2 linked regions of the Drosophila melanogaster genome follow. The protein of the gene in region 2 interacts with the protein of the main gene of each other region in a pairwise test. Each region holds a gene or a part of one and is shown on either strand. Other genes may lie near its edges.

Evidence for each region.
Region 1: the proteins of CG12391 (region 2) and CG10631 interact in a two-hybrid assay, tested with the Drosophila melanogaster proteins (one large-scale study listed by BioGRID).

What each region holds. Positions count from the first base shown.
Region 1 is NT_033779.5:19,746,690-19,763,626, forward strand, and holds the start of CG10631 (uncharacterized protein), read right to left. Parts: upstream 10,216-16,937; 5' UTR 9,832-10,215; coding exon 9,180-9,831; intron 7,592-9,179; coding exon 7,446-7,591; intron 7,388-7,445; coding exon 7,058-7,387; intron 6,999-7,057; coding exon 6,740-6,998; intron 6,667-6,739; coding exon 5,584-6,666; intron 5,525-5,583; coding exon 3,030-5,524; intron 2,970-3,029; coding exon 1-2,969. Other genes in the region: CG10628 (uncharacterized protein), read right to left, coding at 10,616-11,202, 11,261-11,783, 11,843-11,884; Dus3 (dihydrouridine synthase 3), read left to right, coding at 12,223-12,254, 12,313-12,463, 12,515-12,815, 12,894-14,224; fbp (fructose-1,6-bisphosphatase), read right to left, coding at 14,951-15,616, 15,799-16,142, 16,737-16,758.
Region 2 is NT_033778.4:11,139,567-11,156,297, forward strand, and holds CG12391 (uncharacterized protein), read right to left. Parts: upstream 10,503-16,731; 5' UTR 10,212-10,502; coding exon 10,035-10,211; intron 9,946-10,034; coding exon 8,359-9,945; 3' UTR 8,036-8,358; downstream 1-8,035. Other genes in the region: CG13229 (uncharacterized protein), read right to left, coding at 464-785, 965-1,147, 1,234-1,428, 1,644-1,770, 2,113-2,284, 3,118-3,363; CG13231 (uncharacterized protein), read left to right, coding at 6,802-6,813, 6,947-7,237; CG13230 (uncharacterized protein), read left to right, coding at 15,362-15,488, 15,569-15,660.

The sequences.
Region 1 (16,937 bases), on a different chromosome or scaffold from region 2:
TCCTGGCAACTGATCTTCAGGTTGTTGCTCCAAGCATTCAGTTGAGCAGTGGTTTTTGGCACCTTGTAATAGCGCAGACGTCCTTCAGATGCATCCTTTTCACATCCAGACACTAGGCAGTGTCTTTCGATGTCGCCTCTACTTAACTCCAGAGTGGGAACGGATCCCTCAATCAAATTTAATGTGTCCGGCTCGAAGCATTCCGGTGCGAAGTGAGACTGGCATACCTTGAATCCATGGCTGCTGGCCTGCATGGAGCGATGTCTACACGCGGCTGCCCACTTTCGTATAGTTGGCATATCCTTGGGATACTCATAAAGTCTTACACCGCTAGCTTCAGCCTGGAAACAAGTCAGTACGGAGCAATAGCGCTCCCGGATAAGCCTCATCGCCTCCTCAGTATCCTGGCCCCCAGCAATGTTTCCATTGTGCTTGGCATTGGGGATAACAAACCCGTCGTGGCCCAGGTTTAAGGTGGGTTCTGCCCAGCAACGAAGTTGTTTTTTGCAAATGGCGTCTGGTTCAAAGTGAGATTGGCACACATATAGCTCTGCAGGGTCCACAATGCGAGGTTGCTGCTGCGTGTTCACCAGCCACCGGAGTAGGGCCTGCTCTTCGGTGGGAAAGCGGTAGAGTCGAACTTGACTACTTCCAATCTGTCCACATGTGGAAATACAACATATTCTGATCCTGCCTCGAGGACTAGGACTTGCACTCGAGCATGGACTTCCCAAGGAGGTCAGATCTGTTTTAATTCTCAATGGAGTTAGTCTAGAGTTGCTGTTTGGTGTACCACTGCGAGATTCAGGCCTGAGATTCAAATGAAGCTCGTCATCGTGGTTTAAATGCAAGGTGGGTATAGCCCAAGCTTTCGGAAAATTCGCCTCTAGGCAAGTCGGCTCGAAATGAAGAACACATATGCGATAGCTTTTGTGCTTTAAATGATCGTAAGATATCTTTGTGTTTTGCAGCCACTTCAAAAGGGTAGCATCCTTTTTCGGAAAAGGGATAAGCTGAAGATCCCCATCAGATTTGGATGAACAACTGGGAACAGCGCATCTAAGTTCGTCAACAATCCACTGCAAGTCTTCCAAATCTTGTGCGGCCAATACCTTGGGGTACTCCACCTGTTCAAAGAGTTGCATAAAGTGCTCACTACAAAGAAGACCCTCACTGCTGGGTGGCAAATTGAGGTGACTCATCCAGGCATCTCTTATGACCGCATTTCCAGGTAAATCAACAAAGCTTAACTGGTCCGATGAAGAATTACTGCACTCTGGAAACAGGCAATTCCCGCTGTTTCTGTAGATGTTCCAACTGTTTTGATCTAGCTGTAAGGTGGGTACAGCCTGCTCCAAGGGCTTTCCGTTTTGCACCACTTGCTCCTCAAAGTGCTTTAGACACACTTGGATTTCCTTGAAGTCCGTGTCCACGGATAACTTTAGGTTATGCTGCCACTTTCTTAAGAGATTTTGATCCTCAGGCAGCTGAAGTAGTTGGTTAACGTCGTCATTCGCACAGGAGTTGATGCAACATATTTCCAACTTAATCTTTCCGAGACTCGTCGTTGGAGTCTTTTCCTTGGACTTCATTTCCCTCTCCGTCTGCACCTCCAGCTTGATCTCCCTCCCTATCTTCATCTTCATTTCCATCCTCAATCTCTGCATCTTCCGCACTTCCGCACTCCACTTGTTTTGGCGGATGTCCGGCGGCTCCGTCAGTTTCCTTTTGCGGCAGTGTTTTAGGCTCCAAAGCCGAAAAACCGAGTGCTGTGGCTGCAATTGCTCCTGGTCAAGATCCATTCCATTACAAGAGTATCTAAGTGGCTCATCGTGGCCCACATTGAGAGTGGGTACCGCATTTTGCTTCAGCTTTCGGGTTCCCAATACCTCCGGCTGAAAGTGCTCTATGCAAACGCGGCCGATGCAGTCATCCGGATTCAGGTGTAGATTGGCGCACCACTTGAGCAGCAGTTGGCGATCCTTGGGAAAGCCAAAGGTGCTAAGTAGATGAAAAGCAGTACGTTCCTTTCTGCAGTGCCTTAGACAGCAAATGGGCGTCACATTATTCGCGGGCTTTTCGCGACGCAGAGGGATGGTTGGGGGAGTGGGTGGGTTGTCCGGATGAAAGTGCTCCGCCTCGTCCAAGTCCTCATCTTCGTCGCGCTCATCCTCCTCATCTCCACGATACTCGGCTTCATCGTCACTTGGATGTTCGGCAAAGGTCTCGACCAGTTCGAGAGGATCGAAATAGTGGCCGTCCTTCTCGTCTTCATCGTACATATCGTGCTCATGGGGCTCCTCCTCAGCCTCTAGTTCTTCTTCCTCTTCATCAATCAGCTCTCTTTTGGGTTTCAGTCGTGTCATCTCCGAGCTGCCTTCCTCTTCTTCGGTCATGCCCACCTTTATAGCCTCATTGTCGTATATTAAGCCCTCATCATGGCCCAGATTTAGAGTAGGCACCGCTCCCGTTTTCAGCTTCAACTTTCCACGCACCTGTGACTCAAAATGGTCAGCACATATCCTGCCGCGACACTGATCCGGCGCCAGACGCAGATTCGCCCGCCATTTCTCCAGAAGATCCTCACTCCTCGGATATCGATAGGTGCGGAGATCGTTGTCAATGCTCCTACGCTTGCGGCAATGACTCAGAGCACAGGTGGGCGTAAAGAATCCTGGTATGTTTTTCGGATTCTCGTAGATCGGCTGCTCCTGGTGGCCCAGTTGTTGCGTGGGCATTGCCCAGCTTCTCAGCTGCTTGCCATCAATGCAGCGCCGATTGAAGTGCGCACTGCAAATCCGTGTCGATCGGTCCACCTCGTCGGGTTCCAGGCGCAGGTTATGGCGCCACTTCAGGTGCTGCTGCTTGCCGGTGGGAAATGGAAAGAGGCGCGCTCCGTGCTCCAGTCGACTGCGCCCACAACTGCGCACACAACACTTCAGATCGGACATAGTCTTTCTGAGCTTAACCTTAAAGAAAATACGAATTAAACTGGCTAATTATTGCTCCTCTAAGAATAGAAAACTTACCTGTCTCGTATTGAAATCTTTGGCATCAGACACGTCCGTTTTGACGTCCTCCGACTCGGAAAACTCCTGCTTGATGATTATACCGCCCGACTCGTCGTGTACTCGCCGCTGTCGTCCGAAAAGGTTGCTCTGCAGCTCCGCCGGATTTACCTGGAACAGATCGTCTGTCTCGTCGTGACCCAATTCTAGAGTCGGAATCGAACCTATGTTAAGCCGCGTCTTCCCAATACATATATCCTCAAAGTGAGAGTTGCATATCTTGTACCGATCGCGTTCGTGGAAGCTGAGGTGTTCCAACCGCAAGTTGTGTTTCCATCGCTCGAAGAGATTCGCGTCCTTGGGAAAACTGTTCATCTGGACTTCGTCGAAGCGACGCGTCTTTCCGCAGGTCGGTACGATGCACTTGAACACAGGATCCACATACCTGTCCTCCGGCTTGGGATTTAGCACTAGCTCGATGTCGGCGTCGTCGTGACCCAGTTCCTCGGTGGGAATAGCCCACTTGTATAAGTGCTTGGGCCCGATGCAATCTGCCTCGAAGTGTTTATTGCATATGCGTACGCCGGTGCAATCCACCGGGTTCATTTTGAGATTGTTGCACCACTTCCATAGCATATCGTCATCCTCTGTGGGAAAGCGGAAGAGTCGCACGTCAGGCTGTTCCTTGGATGCCTCGCAGCCCTCCACCACGCAGTGCTCGTCCGCAAAGGCCTGCGCTTCGTTGGGATAGATGTCCTCGTCGTCATGACCCAGTTCCAGGGTGGGAATGGCGCCAGCGCTCAGTCTCCGGCCATTGAAAGAGTGTGTCTCAAAGTGGCGGGAACACACACGGTATTGGGCCCTCATCGCCGCTCTGGGACGCGTTTTGATGTTGTGCATCCACTTGCGCAGCTGCGTTGGACTATGTGGCAGTCGGAAGAGCTGGACGCCCTGCGCCCGCGTCTTGCGACAACTCTCGACAATGCACACGCGCTGCAGACACAGCTTGCTAGCCTTGAGCTTGGCTGGATTCTGGTAAATCTTCAAGCCGGGCGGCGCATTCAAGTCCAATGTGGGCACCGCCAGCGGCACCGGGCACTTCTTGCTCAGCACGTGCGGCTCGAAATGAGCCGAGCATAGACGGCGCTGGGCACTGCCAACCATAGGAACCTGCAGATTGTGCGCCCACTTAGCCAGAGTGGAGCGATTGAGCTTGGGGAAGCGATAAAGCTGAACGTTGTGGAGAGCCCGAACTTTGCGGCAATGCGGAAGACAGCACCTGGGCACCCAAGTGGGCTTCACGGAAGCCGATTGCTTGGCTTTCATGTGAGTCCGCCGCTTGTACAGCATCGAATGCTCCGGATTCTCGTAGAGATTCTCTATTGTGCCTGCCAGATTCAGTGTTGGAATAGCCCAAGGTCTCATCCGCTTGCCGATGCAGTGTGCCTCAAAGTGAAGATTACAGATCCTCATGCTTGTCAGTTGACTGCTCTCCGTCTGCAGGTTGTGCGCCCATTTGGCCAACACGGAAGCTTCCTCCGGCGGCCGATAAAGCTTGATGTCGTCCACACTTGGATTTCTCTTGCACGTCTCCACACAGCACTCTCCCTGTTCCTCGCCATTATTGGGCGCAGTGGGTCGAGAGTAAAACTCCGTAACCTGTTCCGGCGTTGGCAGCGGGTATGGGATGTTTTCGTGGCCTAACGATAGTGTCGGCACTGCCCACTTCTCTAGTCTTTTGTTGCGCAGACATCGTTCCTCAAAGTGCACTTCACAAATGGCGTCGTTGAAAAGTTTACTTCCATCCGGAACAGGACGCTGCAGATTGCCACACCACTTGGTCAATAAGGACACATTGCTTGGGAAACGGTGCAGATTCGCGTGGTCCCTGTCTCGATTTCGTTTGCACACGGCGACGCAGCACGTTTCCCGGATGTTTAACTTCTTGATCACATCCGGATTTCTATGAATATCGTCGTCATCGTGACCCAAGTTAAGCGTAGGCACCGCAAATGGACGCATGCAACCGCCGATGCAATAGGGCTCGAAGTGCAGGCTGCAGATCCTCATACCCTTGTGCATCTTTTCTTCGGGTATTTTCAGATTATGGCACCACTTGCGCATCTGCTCCGGTCGACGTGGTATGGTGTGGAATGTAATGTTCTCATTATTGTGCCTCTTGCTCTCACAACTGGGCACACAACATACGTCCATGCTGTCGCTGGCATTCATTGCAGAAGATCCACTGGCACCTAAGCCCAGGTAAGAGGCGCTTAGATCAGGATCCACGTAGTGAGAGTTTGCCGAACTGGCGGAGGAGGACGTGGAGGCCGCCGATTGCCGGTGGTACGATTTGCTATGCAATTGCTGCTGCAGTGAGTGTTGCGAGGAATGTTGTTGCGTCTGGTGCTGGAGGCCACTGCTGTGACTGTTGGGTGCCGTTGGCGGTGGCCACAATTCGTTCTCGTAGATGTTGAAGGTATCAGTGTGACCCAGATGAAGCGTCGGAACGGCCCCTACATTAAGAAATCATTTAAATATTCTTTACAAACGCAGCAATTCCGTTCAAACTTACCTGGTGATAGTTTGCGCAGACCCAACGCCTCTTTGATAAAGTGGGCGCTGCATATTTTGTGATTTTTCCCACGATACACTCCGGGATCCAAGCGGAGATTGTAGCACCAGCGTCGCAGGAGAACTTCATCTCTGGGAAATCGATATAGCGACATATTGAAGTCAGAGGATCGGCTACGGCGGCAGAAGTTGAGGCAGCAGCGTTTTTCTTCAACGTACAAATTCTTTGGGTTATCGTGGATCTTGCCATATTGGGCACCTAGGTGTAAAGTAGGCACCGCCCACGGCTTCAGACGGAACTTGCCAATACAGCGCTCCTCGAAGTGGCGACTGCAAAAATGACGCGGCTCCTTCGCCTGAACGGGAAGTCGTGCATTCTGGCACCACTTGATCAAGCTTTTGATGTCCTTGGGAAAGTTGTAGAACTTCAAGTTGCTCTCACCCCGCTGACTTGTACAGTGAGGCATGCTGCAGCGCGCTACCTCGCCGGTGGTGAAGGTGTTAGTGAGTTCCCTGTTTTGGTATAAATTGGCCACGTCGTCATGGCCCAGGTTGAACGTGGGAACGGCCCAGTAGCACAGAGAGTAGCGGTTAATGCAGCGCTTCGGAAAATGCATGCTACAGATGCGGAAATTTGCGTAGCTGGCGGCGGGTATGTGAAACATCTTGAGGTTGTGCAGCCACTGATTGAGGTACTTCTCGTCCTTGGGGAACGTGAAAAACTGAAGCGTGGGGCTCGTGCTCTTGCGCACGCCACACAGAGGAACGCAGCACAGGGCGTCCTCGGAGTCGTCCAGCGTTGAGGAGTGCGCCTGGGGCCCGGCGATCGCTCCTGCGTGCATTGAGCTGTCGCTTCCATACGCATTATTGTAGCCACTGTCCTGAACGCTGTAGGATGACTCGCTGGTAGAGTTGCTGTAGCTCCGCTCCATCTTAACATTCACTTCGTTCTTCATTGCGGATGCTGCGAACATGGCAGCTCCGTCGGCATTTGCCTGACGCTGCTGCAGTAGAGAATTCAGTGCAGCCGTCGCTGGCAAAGACGAGCCGGATGGAGTGGTTTTGTGGTGCGGGGTTGTGGGCACTAAAACACAGAGAAAAAGCACGTTAGAAATGGTGTTTTTTTTTTTTTTGTTTACTTATGTTTCCTAACTTACTCTCCATGGTTGCCATATGACAGTCCTGCAGCTTGTAGTTGGTCTGGTGCTGCTGCGCCTGCGACTGGGACGCAGAAGATGACTGTCCGCCCGTGTAGTACTTGCCGCAGAAATATGGAGCAGCCAGACGATGTTCGTGAAGCTCTAGAGCCGTCTGATACCATAGGCGGCAGATGGGACAGTCGAAGCGCTGCTGGAACTTGTGCTGCGGCAGGTGGGCGTACAGTTGTTCCCGCGTAGCGAAGGTGCCGGAGCACATCTGCAAATGGACGATCAATGATATAGTGTTCCAAGACGCCAATGATATGTGCTTCTTACGTTGCAGACAAAGCTATCGTATTCGTGCTGCATGTACTCGTGCGCCTCGCACTCAGCGATCGTGTCGAAGTGCTTGCCGCAGTATTTGTGGCAGAAAAACCTGTCGGCCCGGTGGTGAAGCTTGTGCCGCTGCAGCTCCTCGGTGGTCATGAAGGACATGGGACATGTGCTGCACTTGAAGTCGTACTCCTGGATGCCGCAGTTGCTCTCGGCCACATGGCGGAGATAGACCTGCTTCTTAAAGAAGACCTCCTTGCAGCGCTGGCAGATGGGCAGACTTTCATTGCCCCGATCCGATTGTTGTTTGCGACGCAGGAAACTGCTAGTGGTCTAGAGAATAGAAATTATGACTACGGTGAGTTTCGGCAAGGAACCATTATAAACTCACCCTTCCGTAGGACTCATCCTTTACGGTCAGCTCCACTTTCGGACTTAGCATGTCCTCGCTGAATTCGCTGAATTTGCTGAAGTCAGCAAATGGCGTATTGTCGTCTATATAGTTGGACTTGTAGGAATGCTCGTCAATGGGTTCCGCTGTTCAAGAAATATTTGATTACTATTTTTTTTACTTTTAAAACCAAAGTAATGTACATATAATACTTGGTTCAAAGGAATAATAAATATGTCTATAATCTAACTTATTAATGCTGGCGATTAATTCAAAGATTTATATAACCGCGAAATGCTAAAACTATGCGCAGATGAAAATTCTGTATCCACTGTTTGCTGTTTCTATGGTTCCGAATTGTATTTTGTACTCTCCATTGGTTGGTGATAAGAATTAACTGCCCCTACATAAAATTGATAGATAACCGAGTGCTCTGCAGACAAGCAGAAATTTCTTCTATTTACATTATTTATGGTACCAACTAGGCTGTTCGCATTTGAACTATATTAAAATCATTCTTGAAGTAATAGCTATTGGACTCATTGATTGGTCAATTAAAAGTAAAAAGCACCAATATTCATTCGTATGTCCGACTTAGTGTTTATATTTATTAGCAACTTTGCCTTCTGCATCCGGATACTTATGTTGATATCCGGATTACGCGAACATGTTGGAGAGACTGAGAATCATTACCTATGGTATCAATGTTTTGGGCGTCGTACCCAATAATATTTGTCTTTGTCTCTCTGCATTCAGCCCCGCCCACACGCCCATCGAAATGGCACCGGGAGTGCGGGGCGGGACCAATAATTTGTAGGTTAGTCTACGGGAGCAAGTTACATAAGAAGCGACTTGAAAGACAGTGGCCCACCACAACCCGTTCCAAAAAATGTGAGGAGGGAGATGATATGCACACTCACTGGACATACGAGTGCATGCATGCACATGTGTGCGTACGAATCGAACTGAATAGGTTACGCCGGTAGTATAAAGCATCTATCCGAGTACACATTTGCCAAATGGATACATACTGACAACCGTATACCATCTCGCACATACCGAGAGTCGCGCAAACAGAACCAAATTGTACGCCACGGTACGGAACCGAACAGAGCAAGATACAGATACAGAGCCGTAGGTTGACGAGCGGTGGAACCGAATCAGAATCCGAATTCGAATCCGAAAACCATCCGAACGAAATAAGCGCCAAACCTCAGCGAAACTCAACAAACGTTTTATTGATTCGACGCCAAAATGGAGCTGAAACTACGCTACTTATAAGAAAATGGCCCCAAGTTAGTTTGATATATAATGCGTGTATTCTGTATCTGTTTCTATGGCAAAGGCGGATTTTGCGTTTAGGTTTTTCGGACTTTCTTCGGCGTAAAGGGATTTTAGATTTGAATATTTTTACTTCCCCATTCAAGGGGCTTAATAAATCAACATATTTGGTCTTTAATCTGAATCGGCAGCTATGCAAAATTTAGTGTTTCAGTTGCCATAAATTTACATTATTTCGCGCTTGTGTGCTTTAATTTGCATAGTAATTAAAAGAATTACTCTCATTTTTATAATAGCTACTTTCGTCTCCTGGTTCTCTGGGAATCTCTTTAAGTATACACAAAAACCCAACCCACTGTAAAACCGCTTCAAGGAAGTATACCCGGTAGTAAACTTTAAATATGATTACTAACTAATATTAATCGTACTAGATACTCATTTTCGGGAACTTACATTTTATTAATACTTCTGGTGCCGGGGGCGGAGCCATGGGATTCGGGGGCTGCTGGTAGGCCTCCATGGGTTCGCTTTTGATATAGGGATAGCTGCCGGTCATGATATTGTGGCCCATATAGGGTCTTTGTTGGCTTATGTGCTGTGGAAGATGCTGGTGCTGGTGCTGTTGTTGCTGCTGCTGCTGTTGTTGTTGCTGCTGTTGTTGTTGTTGTTGATACTGCAGCAGTTGGTTGTGGGCATATGCCACTGTGTTGGCCCCAAGGCCGTAGTTCGGCCCACCACCACCCACCACCGCCCCACTGACATTGAGGCCACCGCCAGCGGCGCCATAATAGCCCTGCGCGCCACCACCTCCTGGCCCGTATCCCCCGCCGCCCATGATGTTGTTGTTGTTGTTGCCGCTGCCACTGTTGTTGGCGGCCTTGCAAGAGGGGGCGGGGGCGGGGCCGAAGGCCGAGTGTGGTGTGGGGTAGGAAGCAACATGTGAGTACCAATTGGCGTGCTGCTGCTGCTGCTGCTGAGGCGACAGCTGCGCCTGCTGATGCTGCTGCTGCTGCTGTTGCTGCTGCAGGGACATGGGCGTCACGGGGGGCGGGTAGTGGTGGGCGTAGTGGTGGGGGTGGGCGTGATGGGGGTGTTGTTGTGACATCACGGACGCGGTGCTGCCTGTGTTTATGCTGCCCACTGGTAAGTGTCGCCTGCTTTCGGTTCGCCTTGTGGTATGTTATCCTGCGGCCAAGTTAGGGGCGCGTTAGCTCTCTTTTTCGCAAGCTTTTGGCGTCTTTTATATACCAGTTTTTCATCGGCCCCCGTCTGTGTGTATGTATCGAACTGGCATTGTTGCTATTGTCCTTTAGATTTCGCATTTTCCAACTGCCGCGGCAACTCACACATGGCACTCTGCAACAGCTCGGCAATTGCACTTAATATTGGCTCGAAGCGGGCGAAGGGTTTTGACCATTTTACGCTTTATTTCGCTCCCGAACGCGCGACGAACGAAACGTCCAGCGAGACACAACAACAAACTGTTTGTGGAGCGCACTTAGCGGTGGGGCCACAGTGACCAGCTATCGATAGCAGTTCTATCGGTGTGGGAGCTTTTCCATCGCATGGAAAGCTTTCGAAATCGAATTCAATTCAAAGGATTCTACCCAAGGACTTACACTTTGTTCTATCGAATCTTACTCACTTACTGCAGTAACAAAGTTAGAAACAATTTTTAATTTCAGTTCTTGGTAAAGTTTTCAAATTGATTTCCGACAAAGAATTAAACACACAGGATGCTTTATAAGAAGTATTCTTCTTGTCTTACTGCCTTTCGTATTTTGTAGAAAAACTAATTTAAGAATAAGAAGTCAGTTTGCAGTACATTTCCGCTGCTACAAATTTAATTTAATTTCTTAAGCCGCTCACAAAACTATTTGCAATAACAACTAGGTAATTTTTGGACCCACCACCCCAACGCGCTGTCTTAGCTTCTCCTTGACCTGATCCTCGTCCGCCAGGAACTGCTTCTCAGCCAGCCGCACCAGGGTCCTCCTTAGCTGGGATTTCACTTGCGTGATCTTCGACGAGTTCATGGCCGATATGGGGACAATGCTGTCGAAATTGAGCACCTGTTTCGGACGCAGTTCCTCGGGGCACTGTTCAAGTCCGCTGGCCAAATCGCTGACGAGCGGCTTAACTTTGGTAAAGATCTCGTGGGCACCCTCCTTGTCCATTTTGTTCAGCAGCAGGACACTGGGCTTCTCCAGCAGCGATGGATCGTAGAGCTCCAACTCTTTGTTGAGCGCATACACATTGGCCAAGCAGTCGCGATGCGGATGTTTGGGACTCAGCTGGAAGCCGAATATATCCACCATGAAGACCAGCAGGCGGGTGCGTTCGATGTGCTTCAGGAACTTGTGACCCATGCCGAAGTTCGCGTGGGCGCCCTCGATCAGACCGGGAAGATCGGCAACTGTGATGGAGCGCAGGTCCCTGTACTCGATGGTTCCAATCTGGGGTCGGATGGTGGTAACTGAGGTAGGAGTTGTTAGTTAATGATTAAATACCAACTTGATCTAGCAATAACTCACAGGGATAAGCTGCAATTTTTGGTTTGGCATTGGACACGGCCTTAAGAAGGGTGCTTTTGCCAGCGTTGGGGAATCCCACGAGACCCACATCTGCTATTAGCTTTAGGTCCAGATTTACAGTGCGATTCTCCCCGGGACGTCCCAGAAAATTTGTGGCCGTGCATCCGCCAGTACCTCCGCCCGCCACAATGCATGTCGCCTCGTGCTCGTCGAGGTCGGCGATGAGTTTTTGTTGGTCGTCATATACCTGGACGCCCACAGGCACCTCGATCCTCTGGTCAGCTCCACGGCGTCCAAAGATGCTGGCTTTGCTACTGTCCTCGCCACTGGATGCTGCCACTCGCTTATCCTTCAATCCCTGGACGACCTTGCGAAGGGTGAGTCCTTCCTTTGCCACCAAGTAGACGCAACCGCCTTGGCCACCAACTCCTCCGTATTTGGGCAGTCCATTTCCACCATGTCCTCCACGAACCGCTAGGCGCAGTGTGTCCAGAAAAGTGGGCCGGAAGTGGGCACGACCGGTCTGGGCATTAAAACCTTTTGATATTACTTTTGATTTAGGTATAATAGTAATGTTCTCACAGATTTGCTGGATTTTAACAGGAATTTAAAGATTTGCACCATCGCGCAGGCGGCATTATACAATAGCGATGAGCAGACCTGCAAAAAGTGACTGATTCACTGTGACCACGGAGGGAAATAAATCGGTGTCATCTAATTTAGCTCGGGCAAAAACTTCTAAATTACCAATTTAAGGGTGGAGGAGACCTCATCATTGCCACGTAAGTCGTGGATTAATTTTAGTATTTATTAGTTAATAACCAGTGAAATCCATTCAATTCACAGTTATGCTGAACGCGACCAATATCTTTTCTTCTATCGATAAATCATCACAAGCAGCTGATTGACAAAAACAAGGTAGAAGAAGACGCATACCAACACGTGCGATTGTTTATTGTGAAATGGATTCCGGTATTTGCTACATCAAACCAGAGTAAGTAAGCTTAATGGCGAATATTTGGTTAATTCAATTCACTCTTTATACCTTTTAGATACCTGGTAACTGAAGCCGATGGCGGCAGTGCTGCAGCTAACACCGAAAACAGCGACACAAACAAAAGAAAACGCGAGGACGGTGGAGAAGTGGAAGCCGGTGAAAAAAAGAAATGGGATAAAAAGGAACGCAAACGCGGACAGAACAAGGTTCGTCAATAATATATAATATAGATACTATACAAAATATCGTATTTTTAGAACCGCCCAGTTTTCAAGGACGAGCGGTACTCGCATCTGTGCCACTCGCTGATCGATGGAACCGGTGGAGAACCTTGTTCCCTGGCCAACTGTCGCTATGTCCACGACCTGGACGCCTACTTGGCCGCCAAGGGAGAAGATTTGGGCCCTGAATGTTATGTGTACACCACCAAGGGCTACTGTGCCCGCGGTGTGAGTTGTCGCTTTGCAAAGGCCCACACTGATGAACAGGGCAGGAACCTCAAAAGGGAGGACTACGATGAAAATGCTCCTCCAACCACATGCAATGGCGTCAGTTCAGGTGGGCAATTCTTCTGCACCTATCAGCTAACTGATACTAAAGTACCTTGATAAACTCATTAATTGAACCCCTTTTCAGAACTCCAAGTGCGTCTACGAAAACATGAATATGACTTCAGTCGGAGCAAGGAGCTTATTAAAATGGCTGAAAAGCTGAGGGATGCCCGAAAACTAAAGGAACAACAGGAGAAGGAAAAGAATCCGTCTGAAGAGACTGGAGAAAAACAACCTAGTGAAACCACCGAGATATTAGATGCAGAAAAACAGACGGATACTAAGAGTAAACCAACTGCCACTGGTTGTGCAATTGATGATTCCGCTATCGGCAGAGATGCTGACCATAAGCCCGCCGTGGATTTCCGCGAGAAACTCGTGTTGTCGCCACTGACCACGTTGGGCAATTTGCCTTTCCGCCGGATCTGCAAGGAATTCGGTGCAGACATCACCTGTGGCGAGATGGCCTGCGCTCAGCCTCTCCTGAAGGGTATGGGCCAGGAGTGGGCCCTGACCAAGCGACACCAGAGCGAAGATGTCTTTGGAGTCCAGCTATGCGGAAATAATCCCAACATGCTCAACCAGGCGGCGCAGGTTATTCATGAGACGGCCCAGGTGGACTTCATTGATCTTAATATTGGCTGCCCGATAGATCTGATCTACCAGCAAGGCGGTGGCAGTGCGCTGATGCGACGAACCAATATCTTGGAGCTGACAGTGCGGAGTTGTGCAGCCCTGTCGGACCGCCTGCCCTTCACCGTGAAGATGCGCACCGGCATCTATGCAGACAAGAGCGTAGCGCACGAACTTCTTCCGCTTGTTGAAGAGTGGGGTGCCTCGGCGGTGACCCTGCACGGGCGATCCAGGGAGCAGCGCTACACTAAACACGCCAACTGGGCTTACATCGAGGAGTGTGCCGCCAAGGCAAAGTGCATGCCGGTGATCGGCAATGGCGACATACTCAGCTACGAGGATTACATGGAGCGAAGGACGCTGGCGCCTCACGTTTGCTCCGTAATGATTGGACGCGGCGCGTTAATAAAGCCCTGGATATTCCAAGAGATAAAGGAGAAACAGGCCTGGTCCCCATCGTCCGGGCAACGCTACGAGATGTTGCAAAAGTTCTGCAACTACGGACTGGAGCACTGGGGCTCAGACACCAAGGGCGTGGAGACCACTCGCCGATTCCTCCTCGAATGGCAGTCCTTCTTGTACCGATACATACCCGAGGCTTTGCAGACCGCACCGCCGCAAAAGATCAACGCTCGACCGCAAAAGTACCGCGGACGCGACGAAATGGAGACCCTTATGAGTTCCGGCAACGCAGCTGACTGGGTAAAGCTTAGTGAATCGCTGCTGGGTCGAGTGCCCGAAGGCTTCACCTTTGTACCCAAGCACAAGGCGAATGCCTTCTAGGTTTCTTTCGTGTGTAAATTTGTATTTTTGAATTTATGCGTAGTCTGACATAATTAAATTTATAATTTAAATGAAATGAACAGCTTGTTTAAGATATAATAATATAACATATATATATAGATATATATATGTTATATAAGTATATATTACATATGTATATATGTTAAGCCATTCTTTTAATTCGTTAATCTTAAACATATATATATATGTTATATAAGTACATATTACATATGTATATATGTTAAGCCATTCTTTTAATTCGTTAATCTCACGATTGGAATGGATGTATAGTAATCTCTTCGCTGGTACCTAAACAACTCAAAAATATGTTTCCATAATACTTGACTTGTCCAATTCTTGCTTACTATAAGATGAACAAATACCAGTTGTTCAATGGTTGCAACACCAATCTTCTCTCCTCTAGCTTTAAAATGTATTATTTAATTGGGCCGAAATCCCGCCGGCACTGTAATACCGGGCCACAGGCGGAGTAAGCACCTAGCACTCCGTCTGATTTCAGAAATCAGTTCCTCCAATGGAGGAACTACCAGAGGTTAAGCCACTCTGGAATGCAGCTAGAACTAGTTGAGAATTATTCAGGCCAATTAGAAATGGTTTTGTCAATTTTTTTGAGCATAAGTCTTTGGGCAGAACGGCTGAAGGACTTGCATTTCTTAGTAAAAAATATAATTGATCTTTATTGATACGTTACTGTAGTCACAACAATCACTTTAAGTAGCTAAGTGCCTCCTCCACGTCGGACTTGGATCCTAGGAATATGGGACTGCGCTCGTGGATCTTCTTGGGCACAATGTCCAAAATGCTGATCTTTCCGTCGCTGGCCAGACCTCCAGCCTGGATCATCAGATAGGCCATGGGCACGCACTCGTACAGCAGACGAAGTTTTCCGCTGGGAGCGGACTTTGTTGCCGGATAGATAAAGATGCCGCCGTATTTAATGGTGCGATGCACATCCGCGACCATGGAACCCACGTACCGCGCTCCATAGGGCTTTCCCTTGGCGGGATCCTTCTTGGCCGCAATGTAGTTGAAGACACCATCCTCCCAATCCGCTGCATATCCCTCGTTGATAGAGTATATCTTTCCCTTCTCCGGCACCCGCATGTTGGGATCGGTCAGCACGAACTCTCCGATGGCCGGGTCATAAGTGAAGCCATTCACTCCCGAACCCAGACCCAGGACAATTGCTGTGGCCGAACCGTATAGCGCGTAGCCGGCGGCCACCAGCTGATTTCCGGGCTGCAGTGCATCCTCCACTGTGGGCGGACCATCGCTTTTCTTGCGGTAAATGGCGAAGATTGAACCGATCGACACCAGGCAGTCTATGTTGGAGGATCCATCCAAGGGATCGAAGCACACGATGTATTTGCCCTGGAGGTGGAAGAGCGAATAAATTATAGGGAAACGTCATTAAATGTGGCTAGAAGATATAGGGTTAGATCTTAGAGATAGAGCCATCTTAACTGACAGCTAAAAGCTAATTCACACCCTCATACCAAATTTCGTAACAATTGGTCACGTATTAAGGCTTAAAGACTCTAATATATCCCTACCTGTTTCTCCACTTCCACCTCGATCACATTCTCGTTCTCCTCGGAAACCATTAGACATGTGGTATAGGATGACTTCAGCATGTTGATGAACAGCTCGTTGGAGAGCACGTCCAGTTTCTTGACCTCCTCGCCTTGGACATTCACGTCGCCAGCGAATCCATGGAGCTTGGCGATACCTGCCTTCCGCACCGCGGATGATGTAGCCTTGATGGCGGTCTGGATGGAGTTGAGCAGCTGGGAGAGATCGCCAGTGGCGCTCTTGAACTTTCGCTGCTCCTGCAGCACGAAACGCGTCAGCGTCATCGCATTGGAGTCGAAAGCTGGCCTCTGTTGGGTCATTTTGGCTATTTTATATGCAAAAAAATTTAGTTGTACAGTATAATTCGCTTAGCTGCCTCGAGTACTTTGCACAATGCCTCGATGCAGGTAACTTAAAAATGCAGCTAACTTAATTTTTTTTTTTTCTATTTTCTATTTTCTATTTACACAAAAAAATGGAAAAATAATGCAGATATCTTGCCGATGCAGCTAACTATCGATGCAGCTAAGCGAATTATACTGTAGTATAAAACAAGATTTTAAATTTTACTGGATATGATTGGGAGAGGATTAGCATAGGATTGGAATAAATCGATTAAATATTAGTAATATTACTTTGTAAGAAAATAAAGACAACGAGCTAAGTAATACATAACATATATAGGCAGTGGAAAGGATTTAGGATGGATTAAATGTACAACTGCTGTACAACTGAAGCGGGGTTTTATTTTGGAGCAACTGGTTAAAAATATTTCTGGTCAGTGGAACAAGTTTGGGCAGTGCAGGCGGGCATAGTATAGATATGGGTGGGCCATAAGGAAAGCACATTGGGGCAAAAGGAGCTGGGCAACATTGGAGGAGCAGGAGGCAGGAAGCAGGAAGCAGGCTACTTCACTTACAATCACCGCTACTGGCCGCCATTATTGGTTATATGTATGTAGTTGCAGTACGCTCTGTAAATGGTGCGGTTCCTGTGGGGATCCATTAAGGTGGAAACAATTACCAATTTAGTAGAACTTAGTAGAAGGGAGGGGGTTGTGCTCCCCTATCGGAAGGTCAAATCGGTGACCTCGTTCTGTCTCTAGTGGTTTTTTCGGGGG
Region 2 (16,731 bases):
TGTTTTTTTTTCTGCATCTTATGGAAAAGTAAATGTCTCGTATTTGTACAGCTTTGTACAGCTGACTTAGCCTATGAAACTTATATACTAATACGAATTTGAAACACCAACTGGTAAACTAATCAATGTAATTATTTGGAAATGAAATGGCACTTTGCGAAACAGCCAGATCACAAGCAGAATCAATTTCTAAACCGATCGATGCACCAGTCAACGCCTTAGGACTACACCTAAAAGTAAACCATTGTGGAAATCAACTGATCAACTGGTCAGCCCGTACAATAATTCCACACTCACAGTTTCTCATATTTAGGCTTTGTTTAGTCAACGAAACTTTTATAAAGTTTATGCTTTAGAAAATTCAAATTCAATGCCGGGCCGGAACATCTTGGATGTCCCTCACCTACTTCATCCCTCACTAGTGTTTGCTCCTGCCCATGATCACATCTTTAGATGTGCCCAACTAGACGCAAGTCGTGGTTACGCGGGTCAATCTGGTCATTTCGGTGCTGCCAAAGTGCCGCTTCATGAACAGCGATCGGAAGGTGGTCCGGAACTGTTTCGACATCAGACCGTACAGCACGAATCCGACGGCGGCGTTGATCAGTGCCAGCAGATCCATCAGCTCTCCAAACGGCGGATAGCAGTGGGCGAAGAAGCACTTCTCCATCACTCCGGACAGCAGACCAAGTAATCCCTGCGGAAACTCCGTGATCAGAAACAAAACCAGTACCGCAACCAGCAAAAGGGTAGTCCGATCGTTACGGCGATCACAGCGAGGCGGCCTAAGATACAAAAACAAAAAGACAAATTTATAAAAAAGATGGCAAAAAGGAACCTAAGAAGAGATTTGACAAAATCCGAGACCATTCAAAAACAGAAAAATCAAAGATCATGAAACTAACAAGGCAAACTGCAAATGAGGCGAATTCTTAAGCACTAAACGAGTCAAGTGCGTACTTACTTCTTGGATTTGGTTTCATTCAGATTAAGCTGGATGGCATATTTGGCGGGATTGTTGTAATCCCTCAGCTTCAAGCGACGTCTCGATGCCTCGCACAAAACGTGCATAAGTACTGCACTGATCACAATTAATATGCCGCACGGCAGAAGTTTGATGAGCACGGAATGTATCCAGAAGTTGAATCTGTTAAGGATTTTCACGATGAAATATTTTACAATTGGTTCTTCGCAGGATGCATAAATGACATCAGACTTCTTATCTAAGCGCACCTGTAGAGCACCGAGTCCTTGTCGAAATAAACATGATACATGGCCTCCGAGTTGACCTTGTCCACGTCGTACGTCTCACGCACCTGGAACACAAAGTACGTGGGCAGGCAGAGGATCGGCGACAGGATGAAGGGCAGGAGGATCGCCTCCCGGGAATGTGCTAGCAGGAAATTGGCACAGCCCCCGTTCGGATGTCTGTGGAATAGAGACGGTAACATTTGGCTATAAACAAAAGACGGGGGAAGAGAAGAGAAGCCACATTGCCACAATGATGTGGTAATCAGATTAGCCGGATGTCTGTTCGAATTGCGGATGTGGATTATCATGAATGTGAACCGGAGACAAACTCTACATGGATGACGGCGAATTCCGGAATAAGTCATGCATAGCTGGCCGAAGGATCATCTCACCTGATAGCCACATACCGCCACACCGCCAGCGTGACAGTCAATCCGATGGAAATCGTATGCAGGATCTGGGTGAAGTGCATGTGAACCAGCAGACAAACCGCCCAGGTGTAGCTCAAATCTTTTTCACCTGCAACAGCCATACAAAGAATATTAAATAATTCAAAAAAATTTAAACGGCTTAAAATTAAAAAAGAAAGGAAACCTACAGAGAAGGTCATAGCCGATTGCCTCGACTACCACATACTCGTTACTCAACTAAAAGTAAGTGCAAAGGGGAAAGGATATATGGGAATTGTTAACAAAATTGTTAACAAAATATACCCTTAGAAACGGACAGACAGACGTGTGTAGATCCTGATCAAGAGTATACCTTTATAATAATAATCTAGCTGATAACACTAATAAATAAATAACAAGTAAAGCTATAACCAAGACTATTATTAAATATTATTACTAAATGTATGCTTACCTGGCCCCATATATATATACTGATACGATGTATAGGGTATATATTCCAGCATCACAAACATATCGGCCACCGCCAGCCACTTAAGTATATTATTTATGGGCGTCTTGGCCATTTCCTTTCTGGTCAGGACCATTATGTTCAAGATGTTTGCTATTGTCCCGAAAATGCAAATCTAGGTGATTTAAAGAAACAAGAAAGAATCAACATAAAATGCGTCCTTTGTCAAATCGAAACTGTGAGCGCTCACATACTTTCAACTGAATGCACTCCCCTTGGACACCAAAGTGGATGAATATTTTATTTATTCAGCTCGTGAGCAGCAACTCAACTGTCGTGACCTCTCGTATTTACATTTCTTAACATTGCTCACACAAGCAAAAAAAAAAAAAAATGGAACTACAGTAACCGAAGTTTGGTTCAGAATTTTATTTCAATTTAAGAGGTAAACTATTTTTTGTGCGAACGAAGGAAAGCAATAAAGTTACATTTTTCAACTGTATTTGATTTATTGTATATTTATTTGAAAAGATGGGCTATGAACTAGCCTTGATGGAAATGGATTCTCGGTATTTTCTGACCCAATTCCTGTGGTAAAGGCCGTCTGCTACAACGCAAAATGACTTACGACTGAAAATTATAATGAAAAAAGCACATTAACGCCTCAACGGCTTAACTACATCTAATATAATTTATATCCTTTTCAAAAAAGCCCTGAAAAGGGAAACCCGGACATAAACAAAAGACCGAGATTCCCGGCCACTAATTTCATTTGTGATTTTGATGGTTAAGCTGAGCGCATGCTATAACTTTAATTCGAAAAAAGGACGACTTTGGCAAGAGTTCAAAGGTAAAGAAGTCCCCTACATTCATCAGTGGTCTGTCGGCGAAGGTCTGTGTGTATCGTCTTGGCTTCCCTTGCTCATCATTAGTCAACCGATTCCTTTGTTTTGGCCAACATTGCGGGTTTCGTGCCCAGGGGGAGTTGTAATCACGAGTATTACTTACCATCAGCGAAACGTATCCATGGATGCTGTTGTAGGCTCGCAACCAGTTGTATATTTCCCCCTGGCAATAGCCCTGGCACTCATCCACCTGAGGGGTCATGTTCTTCATCTGGTACTCCTGCCATAGCTTTACAAACTTCTCGATATCGGTGCTCGTGAGATGATAGTCCTTCAGAACCGTGTCGTTGAAAGGAACCCGCTGGTGCATATGGGTCTGTCCCATTTGATTGCCGGTCTCTTGCATCATTGTAGACTATCTAGTTCCGCTCTTTTGATGTATATGTGCTAGTTAAAAACTGGAACAAAATTTAAGGAGTTTAAATACATAAACCATTGCTTAGAATTATTTATTTAGAATTAGAATTATATATTTATTTGAATTTTAAAGGACTTCTTGTCATCGAAATGGAAAGTTTTTCTGTGCTTTACAACTAACTTGTGTTTTACAGGACCATTAAAGTGAAAATGCCATAATGTTTTACAAAATAAAAGGGAAATTGTGTCATTTATGTATAAAATCAATACTATCATCAAAAATGAATTAGACGTCAACAGCATCTAATTTATCATTACTTTGTTATTATCAATGCCGTTTCTTCATTATGGGCATACGGTGTCGAAATTGCTACTGCAACTCGTCAAAGCGATAAACAATTTTGAATGGCCAAAGTGGAGCTGCCAGTGAGCTGAGCAAACCTGTCCAAATGTCCACCTGTGATTCAAAGCAACCTGGGCGTTGTAGGCAATTAATTGGCAAATGCGGACCCATTAGTCTGTGTATCTATTTGCAAGAACTTCACATTTTGCATTTGAGAATATGGTTAAAATTGCTAGGAGATCCAAGTAAAAAATTCTTTAGATACTTTATTATATTATATTATAATTACATTTTAATGGTAAATCCATGTTCGTCTTTCTGTCCGTATGAATGTCGTGATGTCATAGAATTATTATTGCTTGAAAGTTGATCATTATCATGCATGTCATGCAGCCCAATTATACATTACTACACATGTAAATCCTTTATTTATTTCTTTCAGTGCATAAGTAATGTTGGCATCTGACACTACTACCCCGGATCACTCAGTTGGCCGAATCAAAGTCGACGTGTCCACACGTCGTCGAAGGTGTTGCATTTGGCTAATGGCTAAATCTGAATATAAATCCTGTTCGCAACTCATTTCGCAACTGAAACGCACAGCCGGACCTCAATCGCATTGCATTGCCTCGTTCAATATGCATATTTAGGTAACTCAAAATTGTCCAATGTAGTGTGTACCATTGAACTGAAACTAACTGCCAGTCAATCCAATGTCTGTCGACCATTTGATGTTGATCGATTGGCCTTTCGTTTTCGTCAAACGTTTACAGCCGTTGCGTTACGGGCAATTATTAGTTATTGCCACACACATTCAATCAAAATGAAATCGGTTCCAAAAAAAAACTCATTTCATTTGGACCATTTCGGTGTTTCGACTGCCCTTCTGAAAGCATTTTTCTGCAAATGGCGTTTGTTATCAAAGGGACATTTCGGGAGGCAATATTGAAAGGAACATAGGCAATTATTAATTTCCGGGAGTTTTACAGAAGGAAACAATTTTTGTGGGAAATTAGAAGAAACCTCGACTATCGAATAGATATGCAAGTGGGAAAGAGACTATTTCCATGATGGCCATCTAGTTACAGTTTCATATAATTTCCGAGATCTCTATGTCATATGGACAGATCTTGATTTGTTTATATGGTAAATATTCTTATTTGTCAACAAGTTCGTTTGTCTGTTCCTATGCACAAATGGTGTTGACAATTTAAAACCCCTTACAACTTATCGCCCATCCCCATTCCAAAGAACAGCCTTAATTCAATTCGTGGCTCACAAATAAAGCGTAAAGACATTTCAGTTTTAAAAAGAAATTATCTTTGTGCCTCTCACTGTCGGCAAGTTCCTTAAGTCGCCTCCTATTCACTAGCGCGTGGCCTTGAGCAACATGTCTGAACAGGTGGCGCACCCACAAAGGATACGCCCAAGTTCCCGCAAAGGACTAACAAAAAATTAACACCACCAACTGACAGCTGCAGATAAACAGCAGTAGCACACCAGGCCGTCCTTTGCAGGTCTCTTTCCTCATTTTCCGCCATTTGAGGGGCCGTTAATTAACATTTCGCTAGTCAAATGCACTCAAAAAAAAACTAACCTAAAATGTAGCCCTAATGCAAGGAAGGAAATGAAGGAAAGTGGAATTTACCACTTTATTAAGAAAGCAAAGTGGTACAAGTAATCTTAAAAAGAAATTTAAACAAAATTGTAAACGAAAAATATGTTATATTCACTTATCTTCAACAATACACTTAACTTTTATAAACCGATTGTAAGGGGATTAGGAGAGCACTTTTTCTGAGTGCACACAGCTGTATAAGTTCGCTTTCCTCATTTTTTATTGCCACATTTCCGCCGGAAGTATAAGATAACGTGAGAGAGCAAAAGAGAGAGAGAGAGAGAGAGAAACACCCTTATCACATACAGCTCTGGCCACATAATCCCCGCTGGGCCAATTGATTCAACGATGCCACAGCTTAGCTCCCCCATCACTTCTGGCCCACCAGAGGGTCCAATTATTGAGGTCGTTAAGTGCTTTAACTACCACTAAAGCGCTTCATATCAGCTGAGAATTTAGTGAATTAGAATTTAGTTGTAACTTAAAGTGTCTTTTTCAATTAGCCCGGCCAAACAGTGTCAATCAATTTTTTGTTGTCGCCGGCAGGCCAATGCGAAATTGTTTTCGGTTATGTCAATTCATTTCAAGGCATAATGAAATTCGTGCCCTTGGCTAATTTATTTAATCCTTTGGTTGGTAGTCTTATTTGCACAGCCTTGTCTAACTTTCTATTACATTTCAGAAAGGACAAAATACCTGCCTGTTTGTATACGCCACAATATTTATACAATACTTAATACTTAATATGAAATTTTGTTATTTTTGCCATTTTTGAACAGGCAACAAATATCCTTGGCCATTACCTTTGGTACACAGCTAATAGCTTTTAGCTTTGAAATGCACCATTCCATTTGATTGTACAATAGATTAGCTTCGAATGGAGTGTTCATAACTCACATACTCAGACACTGCGACAATTGCTGACAAGTATCTGCCAGATAGAAATTATTGTTATTAATGGCTTTGGCATTTAGTATTAGAGATGAACACATTGACCACAGCAGCGGCTAATAAATTGAGGCGCCTATTGGCACTCAAAGTGAGTACTCCAAATAATTTGCTGAATTAAAAAACAATTTATGTGGACTGGCGATGTGGCGATCCGTCGGATACTCAGATACTCAGATACATTCGGCCCCACTCGGATGGATACGCACAGGCACACACATCTATCTACATACATACATATGTACATATTTCTTGAGTCGCTTGGCTTGTTTGTGCAATTTTGGCTTGATGTGGGCATATTTTTCTCGATGCGTGTCTTGTGCGAATTTTACTTTATTTTTGGGCCTAAATAGTTTTCGCCTAATGAGTGCGTTTGACTTAGTTTTGAGTGAGTTTTGAGAACAATCCGAATGGTATAAATAACCAGGTTCTGGCTGCCAGCGTCGTTAGTTCAATTAAAGCCAGTGGTGTGCGAACAGTTTCAAGTCGAGTTACACATAAATCCTAAATATACCAACAACATGAAATTCACTGTAAGCTATCGTCAGAGCGAAGAAGATAATTGCGAAAATTATATGATATTTTCTTAAGAATTTCTAATAATCCGTCATTTTTTCCCGCTTTTCATCGTTAAATACCAATGAAAATTGCTTGGAAACGGCACAGCTGCTGCTGCTCATCGCCAGTTTGGCCTGCATCCTGGCCGCACCTGCTCCCGCCGCCGAGGAGCAGCAGGAGGAGTCCTCTGTCAAGGCAAAGCGCGGCATATCATTGGGGCTCGGCTACCATGCCCCCTTGGTCACCCACTCGCACTACATAGCTGCACCCACGCTGGTGCATCATGCCCCAATCATATCGCATGCCCCACTCATCGCCCATGCCCCGCTGATTGCCCACCATCCGGTGTCTTCGGTGTCCTATCACCTGCCCACCTACCACTCCATCCACCACTTCTAATTAGGCACGCACACGGAGCGGCGGATCAATTAGACACCTTTGTAGTGCAGCAGCATTGCCGAAACATTCGCACGTGCATCAGATTTCCTGCCCAAACAATTCCCGATTGCTATGTAAATAAATGTTAAAGTCAAACGTGTGTCTTCAATTCAATTTAAAGAGTTTTAAATTTAGCCCTAAAAACTCACTGCAATCACAACAAAACTTCCCACAGAAACCCAAAAGAAAAGCTTAACAATTTTGCATAAATTACGGCTTACAAATTAGGCTTACACAAATAACTTAGTTTATTGGCTTACAGTTTAAAATTATAACTAAAACGTTGCAACTCAGTTCGTTTTCCTTCCGGCCATGAGTAAAACTTTCTTGGAAAAGTGCAAATTTTGTGGTCCAAATTAGTTGCTTGAAGTACTACAGCATTTTTCTTACCAAACCTTTCTGAAATACCTGATAAGAATTGTACACGGATCTGAAAGTTGTGAGTAACCACACTTAGTGCTCCGCTTATGCACATATATGCTGCAAGTCTACACTAAAGACCCCCAGCTTGGGTCCAAAGTAATCCCCAGTAGTTAAACACTCCTAGTTATGCTCCACAAGCGAAATTATAAACATTAGAACGCCACATTATGGCCAAGATTGTGCAGAACTGCAGTTGGTTGTTCTTTAGCTCGGCGGCACTAAGTGCTGCCATTTGGCGAGCAAACGCTTTGGGATCCAATTAAAAGGGGTTCAAAAGGAAAGCATTGTGGGTCACTGAGGAGCAGCGCACTCCATGTAAGTTACGACGCACTTATTCCAAACATAGTGTTTATTTTAACAGCGAATCTTATATGTTTGAAGTATTTATAATCTAATGGTGTCCTTAGGAACAAATGAAAATCTTAGCGTCTAAGTCAATATTTTCCAATCTGCCATTAATCGAACTTTTTATTTTGCCTTTTCGCTTACTTACTTAGCTTGAGAAGTTTACATGTACTCAAAACTTCCACTAGTGTTATTTTGTATTTATTACAAATGTGATTTATTTGCACTGAATTCTTCCTACAGCTAGAGAAACTTAAAATCGTTCATTAGAAATTATTGAATTGAAATCCGCAAGCCGCCGCACCTTGGTTTTTTTAGTCCGAGAAGCTATCGCTCCAATAGGTGGTTGTTGGTGGGGCCACAGCCTTGAAAAGATCCCGTCCTTCGCCGGGACGGCGTTTGCTGCTGTTGTTGCCATGATGGCGGTCGTCCTTGCTGCGCGACTCCTGCTTGAACCGCGACTGCTCCTCCTTGATGCGAACGCTATCCTCCTTGTGCCGCTGACAACCGACGGCCTGGTGACGCTGCAGTCGCTGCTGGGTGAGGAACGTCCGCTGGCAGCGCTTGCACTCGTAAATGAAGCCATGCTCGTCGTGTCGCTGGGCCATATGGTGCTTCAGTTCCGCGCGCAGTCGGAATATCTTGGGGCACAGCTCGCAGCGGAAATGGGCGCGCTCCTGCTCGTGCCGTTGCATGTGCGTTTTATAGGCCCACTCCACCTTGAACTTCTTGCCGCAGATGGGACAGGCATGCTCTATTCTCTCGTGAGTCTTACGATGCAGCACATAGGATTGTTTGCGCGAGAACGTCAAGTCGCAGTTGGGACACTCGAATGGGCCCACTGAAGCCGTCGAAGAGGGCTGGTATTTCTTCTTTTGGGCGCTGGAAGGCTCCCCATCGCTGTCCGTGCCTCTCTTGAGTGGCTTTTTTCGAGGACGCCCACGTGGTCCGGGCTTCTTTTTCTCCTTCTCACTGTCATCCGAATCGGCAGAATCGCTGTCGGCACTCGTGGTTCCGGCTACATCGGATACCTTGAACTCATCATCGAGCTCATCCTCATCCTCACTGGAATCGGTGACAGGTGCGTCTATGACCACATAGCCGCGGGGTCTTCGCACTTTATTCTTGCTTCGGGACAAACGCTTGCGCAGCTCCTGGTCCGTGGTCTCCAGCTGCTTTCTCAGCTGTATGGCAATGGTAAGGCTGCCCATGCACTTGGTGCATATGAATTGCGGCATAAAGTCCTTGGGCAAAATCGAGACATTAGGACAGATGACCAGCAGCATGTCCGCGGGCGTGGCATCGATTTGCTTCTTAAACAGGCAGACTAGCTCTTCCTTGCTGGTGCAAACGCGGCACTGGTCTTCGTCCACGGGTTCCTCTTTCTTGCGCTCCCTAATGGGCACATCGGCCAGATCGCCCGGCTCATCGCCAGTGATTAGTTCACCTTCTGCATCGGTGCCAGTCTCGAAATCTGGTTCAATTTCCTCGACTTCTTCGTTGGGATCCTCATCTTCATCGAGAGCGTCCTCATCTTCTTCAATGGCCTCGTCGCCTTCTTCGGTGCCATCCTCATCTTCTGGCTTCTCTACATCGTCTTCATCCTCTGCGTCGGCCTCGTCGCCATCCTTTTCGGCATCATCGTTGTTATCTTCATGTAAATGAGTTGCCTTCTTCTCCTTGTCGGTGTCTTTTTCACCATCCTCTCCACTTTTTTCCTTGGAAAAATCATCTTTAGCTGCAGATTCTTGCAAATCCTTCTTATTGCTTGATTCCTGGCAACCTTCATTGGCTTTCTCCGTTTGCGGAGTCTCGCTCTCATCCTCCTGCGGCATCTCGCCATCCAGATACTCTGCCTCGCCCATCTCCGCGTCCTGGTCGGCAGTTGCACCGGCATCGTCCTATAATATAAATAAAAATAAACAAACATATATATATATATATGTATGAGTTTCACAAGCTTTTCCAAGTCTTTTAAAGCCGGGCGCACCTCGAGGTAATCCATAATCTGTCCCACAGTTCCGGAGACGCCATCATCAGCGGAACCCACCGACTTGCCCGCCAAATCCTGCCGCGGTTGCGGTTGCTCTTGGTTTTGAGCACTTTCCTGGGGATTTTGGCGCTGCTCTCCGTTGGTTTCCGCCAGGGGCGTTATGTCGGCTTCCATTTTCGCAGTATTTTCCTTATTTCCGCAGAGAAATGTTTTCAAGTGGAGTGGGGGAGTCTTCTTTTTTTTGGCGGGGCACCGGCGACTTTTTCGATATTCACTTTTTCGCTTCGATTTCTTGGCGCGCACTTGATTTTCGGATAGTGTTCCACTTTCGTTTGCACAAATTCACATTTCTCGCACTTTTCTATCTAATACTCAAGCGGAAAATGCAATTCAAATTGCAGTTTTTTCACAGCGTTACAATTTTTTTTACTTGCAGCCATATTGGATAAGTATAGGTACACAGCTGTTTGTCATCGGTAATCGATAGTTGTGCGCATGCCCACTGGCAATCGATAACGTGCGCAGGGTTGCACAGCGGGCGCGTAATTTGAAAAGTAAAGGAAATTCGTTATTTAAAGAATGCTCGCAAATAACATAATTCAGCAGCCCAAAACGAAAGCTTAAAACAATAAAACCGAAATAAAGTTTAGGAGAAGGCGCAAAGTGTCAGTAATACATGCACCTTCTGTCTGCAAAAGGGAAACCTACGCGCGTGTTTGCAATAAAAGTGGGCACAATACATAGGCCACCCCCCTTAAAAGCAGCCGTTTGAAACAAAAAGCATGTCGTCTTGACTTTTCAACACGGCGAAATAAAAATTACGTGATTTGCATAATTTTTCACCCGCTGCTGTGCGCATTAATTTGAGTAATGCCTCTTACATGAACCAGCATCAACCATGCAACACTTTGTTTTTCCTTTTGCCACAACACTTAATCTGGCTTTTAGAATTCCATGCCTTAAATGTTGGCAAATACCCCGTATTACTTGAGTTTACATTCTTCAATTTCAATCAATTCCCAGTACAAGAAATGCAAATAAGCAAACAAATTTCAATAAAGTGGCTCTTCAAAAATATTCCACCGCTCTGAAGGGAACACTACAGAAAAATATTTATTTCAATTACGTCCTGTGGCCGCAAAGAGAAATGTCCGCGGAAATGCCCGAACTTTGCGAAGGACACAATCCATTAGCGCAGACACTACACTGCGAGAAAATGTTGCAGTAACTTGAAATACTTCTATCAAATAGATCAAGTGATAAGTTGAGTAATCAATCAAGTGATAAGTTGAGTAATTAAAACGTAATAAGTTAATGACAAATTTCGGACTAATGAAATCTTTCTGTCTGTCCTTTACTTATTTCTTTGTTTTAGAGCATCTTTTTGGCTGTATTATTATTATTTTTTCGCTTGCTTTAATTTCAGATCCAACAATAAGAATTTTATTCTATAGTTACTTTTTAAAGTTGATCGAAATCACTCTTTTAATGTGAAGTACCCTCGGGCTAAAGATAAAAGTGTGAGTATGACACATTGATTTCTTCGTGTACAATATGCCCACAAGGATAGTATGTGTCTGTCTGGGACGTAATTCTGTTGCTCTTCGACATGATTTACGCCAACAATTATCGCAGCAAGACGTGCTCCGAGATCTACTTGACATTAACATCGTTTTACCGGCTAGAGCTTTTCACCTCCTGGTCGCCTTCACGTCCACCCACTCGCAGGGAATCGCTTATGTTGCCGGATGTTGCAAGGACAGGGACGCGAAGGCGACTCCTAGAAAAGAGATAAATTTAGCGGCCAGGAGACTGTGGCAGTGATAAAAAAGCATGGCCATGTCAGCACAACACAATTCAACTCCCGGCGGCGTCACTCAGTGATTAATTATGCACAAAAGACAAACAGGCAGCATATGCTCCTTGGGAAGGCTTAAGCCTATATATATGTACATACATATATATTATATGTATTCCTGAACCCGTCGAGGATTTGAATGGATTTCAACCTACCCACTGGCGTTCACGTGCGCACATTAAAGGGCACATCAAAAACATATAATAGAATACATTCTAATTGTGGTGATAATTAGAACGAACTCATATTATAAGCATTTAATTATCTATTGAGTGTTTTTCAGCAGCCACATTCCTTTCACCTGTTACACGACAATTACGAAAAGATGCCGCCAGCACAACCAATGTTCAGTTACATAATATAATGGCAATCACTCCGCGGAAAAAAAGCCTATTTTAATTATCATTTTATATTAACTATCAGTCTAATTAATCTTATTTCATATTCAAAAAATTAAACATTGACATTGCATGTTTGTACAAATAACTATCTTTTACCCACGGGAATGAGTTCTAACGAGATTTATTTTATATTTTAGATGAGATTTATTTTACCACTTGATGTTTTGCACAACTTAATTTAATGAGTTGCACCCACCCCATCTTTAATTTTCACCCGGATGCTTTTCAACCAGATGCTTTTAATTTTCCATTTAAACTCATAACCTGAATTAAGTGCTCGAATAGTTAAGGAAATTAAAATACGTCGGTTATTTAGTGCAAATATTAGGCTACACTTCAATTTGCATCCAAACGAAAACGAGTATGTATGTATGTGAAGACTGCCAATTATATATATGCTGAAGGTTTCCCCCCGGAAAGTTTATTAACTAGATGGCAGGTGGAAAACTTTGAACATAAAAATTAACTTTTCCACAATGGGATTTCCACCTGGCAGCTGAGAGGCAGCTGATCCATCAATATGGGCACGTATCTGACATGCCAGTAAATCTAATTTGCACACGCATATCGACTTGTGCACACACACACACTGTGATTATATATTATATGTATATATAAGCTTTAAAAATTTTCTTAAATTCGTAGGGAAATTGTTCTTCTTGGAAGAAACCCAATATTAATGCATCAATGATTATTACTGACACAGTCGTCGATGTATCAAAATCAGTTGCATGTACATGTACTTGCGCCTCCTAATGAAAGAGAATGGATTTTCTTGGCAGTTTGAATCTAATGTGGAAGGTAAAAGCTACAACGCATTAATTACGCAAAACAGGATTCCCTAATTATGTTAAGATGGTATCGTATTAGCGAAGGACTTTACTATCGTTTTGCTTTCCATGGCCAAGAAGAATAATATTTTTTCTTCCGAATTTCAAAGCATTTTGCTAATGACTCTCATAATTAATATCACATTTATCTCATTGTGATGCTGCAGATTATATGACTTGGCTGTCGTGCTTTCACTTCAACATTTGGGGTTTGGCTTAATCCGTTCGCATATTAAGCATACGCACCGTTTGGCTGCCTTGGGATAATGCAAACAATGTTAAATTATAGCATGGTGCGTAGGCATCAGCATCAGCATTTGTATATCCCGTGAGAGGAAGTCCATGAAGAAAAATACTTATTTATTAACATATAATTTAAAAATGCCCTAAGGGGGATGGGTGCTGCTGCTCGTTTACTTATCCATTTCACTTATCCATTTTCACTCGTTGGCCGTGCTTTTCTCGCATTTTCCCAGTTTTAAGCACACAAAGCTAATATGGCAACCTATATATGTATAACCATGAATAAGGGAGCCTGATTTGCGCACGACCCAAATGAAGCGCCTAGAGAAGTGTAGATAAAAAATCGCTGGCAAATATACAAAATATGAGTATAACTAAGTAGCGGACTCAACGCTATTATTAATATGAACTCGATGCCATAGATCATGATTATTTGCGGATCCGGACAGGCCAATAAATGGGGCGATAAGAGGCTTTACGGCTGCCTCATTAGCCGTCCGTACAAAAGGTACACATTTCCGTGAACAATTGGTGATTGTCGGGCGGCGTACTTCAATTTCCTTTTGGCCAAACACGGGTTTATCAGAATACATGTGTATCTAAATACGCTCCTTGTGGCAATCTTGTTGGAAGGACACGTGTTCTCTTTAACATTTAACGTCTGCTTTAGGCAATACACGTCTTGAACTGATTACCGAACTTAGAGACACAATTTCACCTCCGCTCTGCGTTCGAATTTCAAATCCAATCAATTTCCATAGACATTGGCAGAGCGCGCGTCTGCCTAAAGAATTTTGCATACAATTTGCGGCAATTTATTTAATTTTTTTTTTGTTAATTTGCCGCCATGCTAAGAAGGAATTCCCAAGCTGAAATAATTTATGAAACGAACAAAATACCGACAAATTTTACTTTCGATTGGCCTGCGTCCAAGCGGCAAATTAAGCGAACCGGTTTGTTTGTATAAATCAACAGCAAAAATCCGCTGCCAAATGGCGACAAATAAGCAAAAGATTCTTCTCCTATTTGTATCTTTCATGTGGCCGGCATTTTTTTTGAGGTAGTTGGAAATGCCCAAAGCATCTGAGGCATAACAAATGAAATAAAAGATAGCAAAACAAAACATAAACAGAGATTTTTTTTTTTAGTCACACATTCGTACAATGAACTGTCATATGCAAAACATTTGTGTTACGGCAAGAATATTCAAAAAGAATTTTATAATCTCTTATGTATAGAATATTCAATACCCATTTATATAATAAGCGAAATACGATGATAAGACGATTGTATCGACAAGAATATTGTTTGGGTAAAATAATATGTTTATGAGTATATATTTACAATTAAATTTAATTATTTAATTATTAATTTAATTACAATATTTATATTTACAATTAAATGGATTTTTGGGTTAAATAATATGCTTATGTCTATGCATTTACAAGAAAGAAAGCAAGGAAATGTTTAATAAACTCAATTACATTCTTAAAATCTGTTTAAGGATAATAAAGTAACCAAATTGAAAGACTATGAAATTGATTTCATGTATAAATGGTTGCTTTCTACAAGCCAATTCATTGAAAATTCAACTTTTGAAGTTCATAAGCGCAACCTTTAGCCAAACTATTAGCATTCAAAAAGATTATACATTTGCATTAAATGTTCGAAAAGCATTTTGCATTGTTATGCTTTCCTGCAAGGTGTTCAAAAATTCCCAACTCAAATCGTTTGTTCTTTCCGAAACTTGTTTGCCATCTTCGAGTGCGGACATTCCCCGGATTAAGTAGCGCCAAAGAAATTGGTTGGCATCGCATTCAAAACAAGAAATCCAATTTCCAAACAGCTGCTTCGAAACAAGAAGCTCATCGCCAAATCGCTATGCTGGCTTTCTTTCATCATCCCGGTTTCTTCGAGTATAAATAGCTGCGGTCGCAGCTATTTCAATTAGATTACCATCCAAGCTCCAGAATACCGAACCAAAGCCCCAGAATGTCGAGAATCCTTGTCGCCGCCATCGCCTTCGTTACCATCTGTCTGGTCCTTGTCAGCGCCGCCCCCGCTCCCGCCCCGCCCACACAGATCCTGGATGCCCGGACGGCCATCCAGAAGATAATCGGTGAGTTGGGACAATAGTTTCCGTGAACTGTTACCGGATTGACCCCGTGTTTTTCTTCTTTTTTTTTTTGCTTTTTTCAGACGCTTACAATCGGATTCCGGGTCCTTCAGTTGTTCACCCCTGGGAGGTGGCCACTTTGATTGACCCGAACACCTTTGTGGCCCAATTCTGAAGTTCCGAGCACTCCAACTCTACCTGACTACCTTAACTAACTGAAATGTCCAAATAAATCCCATTCGAAATATAAGTTAAACAAAAACCAAATTCTAATGATTTAAATTCGTGTTCTTTGTTTAGCTGACTTTTGAGGTGTTCTCCTGAAAATGCGAAATCAAATTTCACTCAACTTAAACAACATTTATGTGGGTTGAACGAATTGGAATACTTTCCCTGTACGGAGTAACAAAGTTTTTTGCTCGGCAATGATCTTTTTTCAACTACTTTGATATATCAGTAAGTTTTTTATTGAAAAGAAAAATCCAGCAGAGATACGGTCGAATAAACTTTAGTTACACTTTAAAGTCTTTCTTTTTTCCCATAAACTTTTCAATTGAAATAAACATTACTTAGCCAGCGACTAAAAGAGCATTTGGCAAAGAAAGCTAAGCTTTTAATTCTGTAGTCCTTTTATTAACTTTATTTATCAGAAATCGTGGTTTGTCTTCCTTAAGTATCAGAAATTATTAATTTATAACCATGTTACTGTGGCCTTAAATTTATAGTCACAAAAAAAACCTTACTTGAATAGGAATGAATAGGGCGAATATTCTAATAATTGAATTAGAGGAATCTTGTTTTAGTAAATAAGTACATAGGTACATACATACTATATTAAAAGGCATGGTGTGAATTACATTCAAGTATTAAAAACTATTATAAGCCCGTTACCCGTTATAAAGTATGTAAAGGGAATGGGAAACGATTCCGACCCTCTAAAGTCCTTTTATACATTTTAAATTTACGCATTTATTTAGATTGATAAATTTCCCGTTGTTTCAAGTTGTTTTCCATTCCTTATTTCACTTACTAAATTCTATTCATATGACAAGAAATGTTTGACATTTCTCAATCGCACTCCCATCAGCTAAATAGCGGGTATCTGATAGTCGAGCAATTTGGCTACAGCTGTCTATCATGCTTGTTTTAGTTTTGGCCAAAAGGGGATTTCCGTTTTGAAGTGCACAAAAGTTTTGCCGCATTTTTGGTGGCAGCTGCAGAGCTTAACTAAAGTTGTGTAACTCAA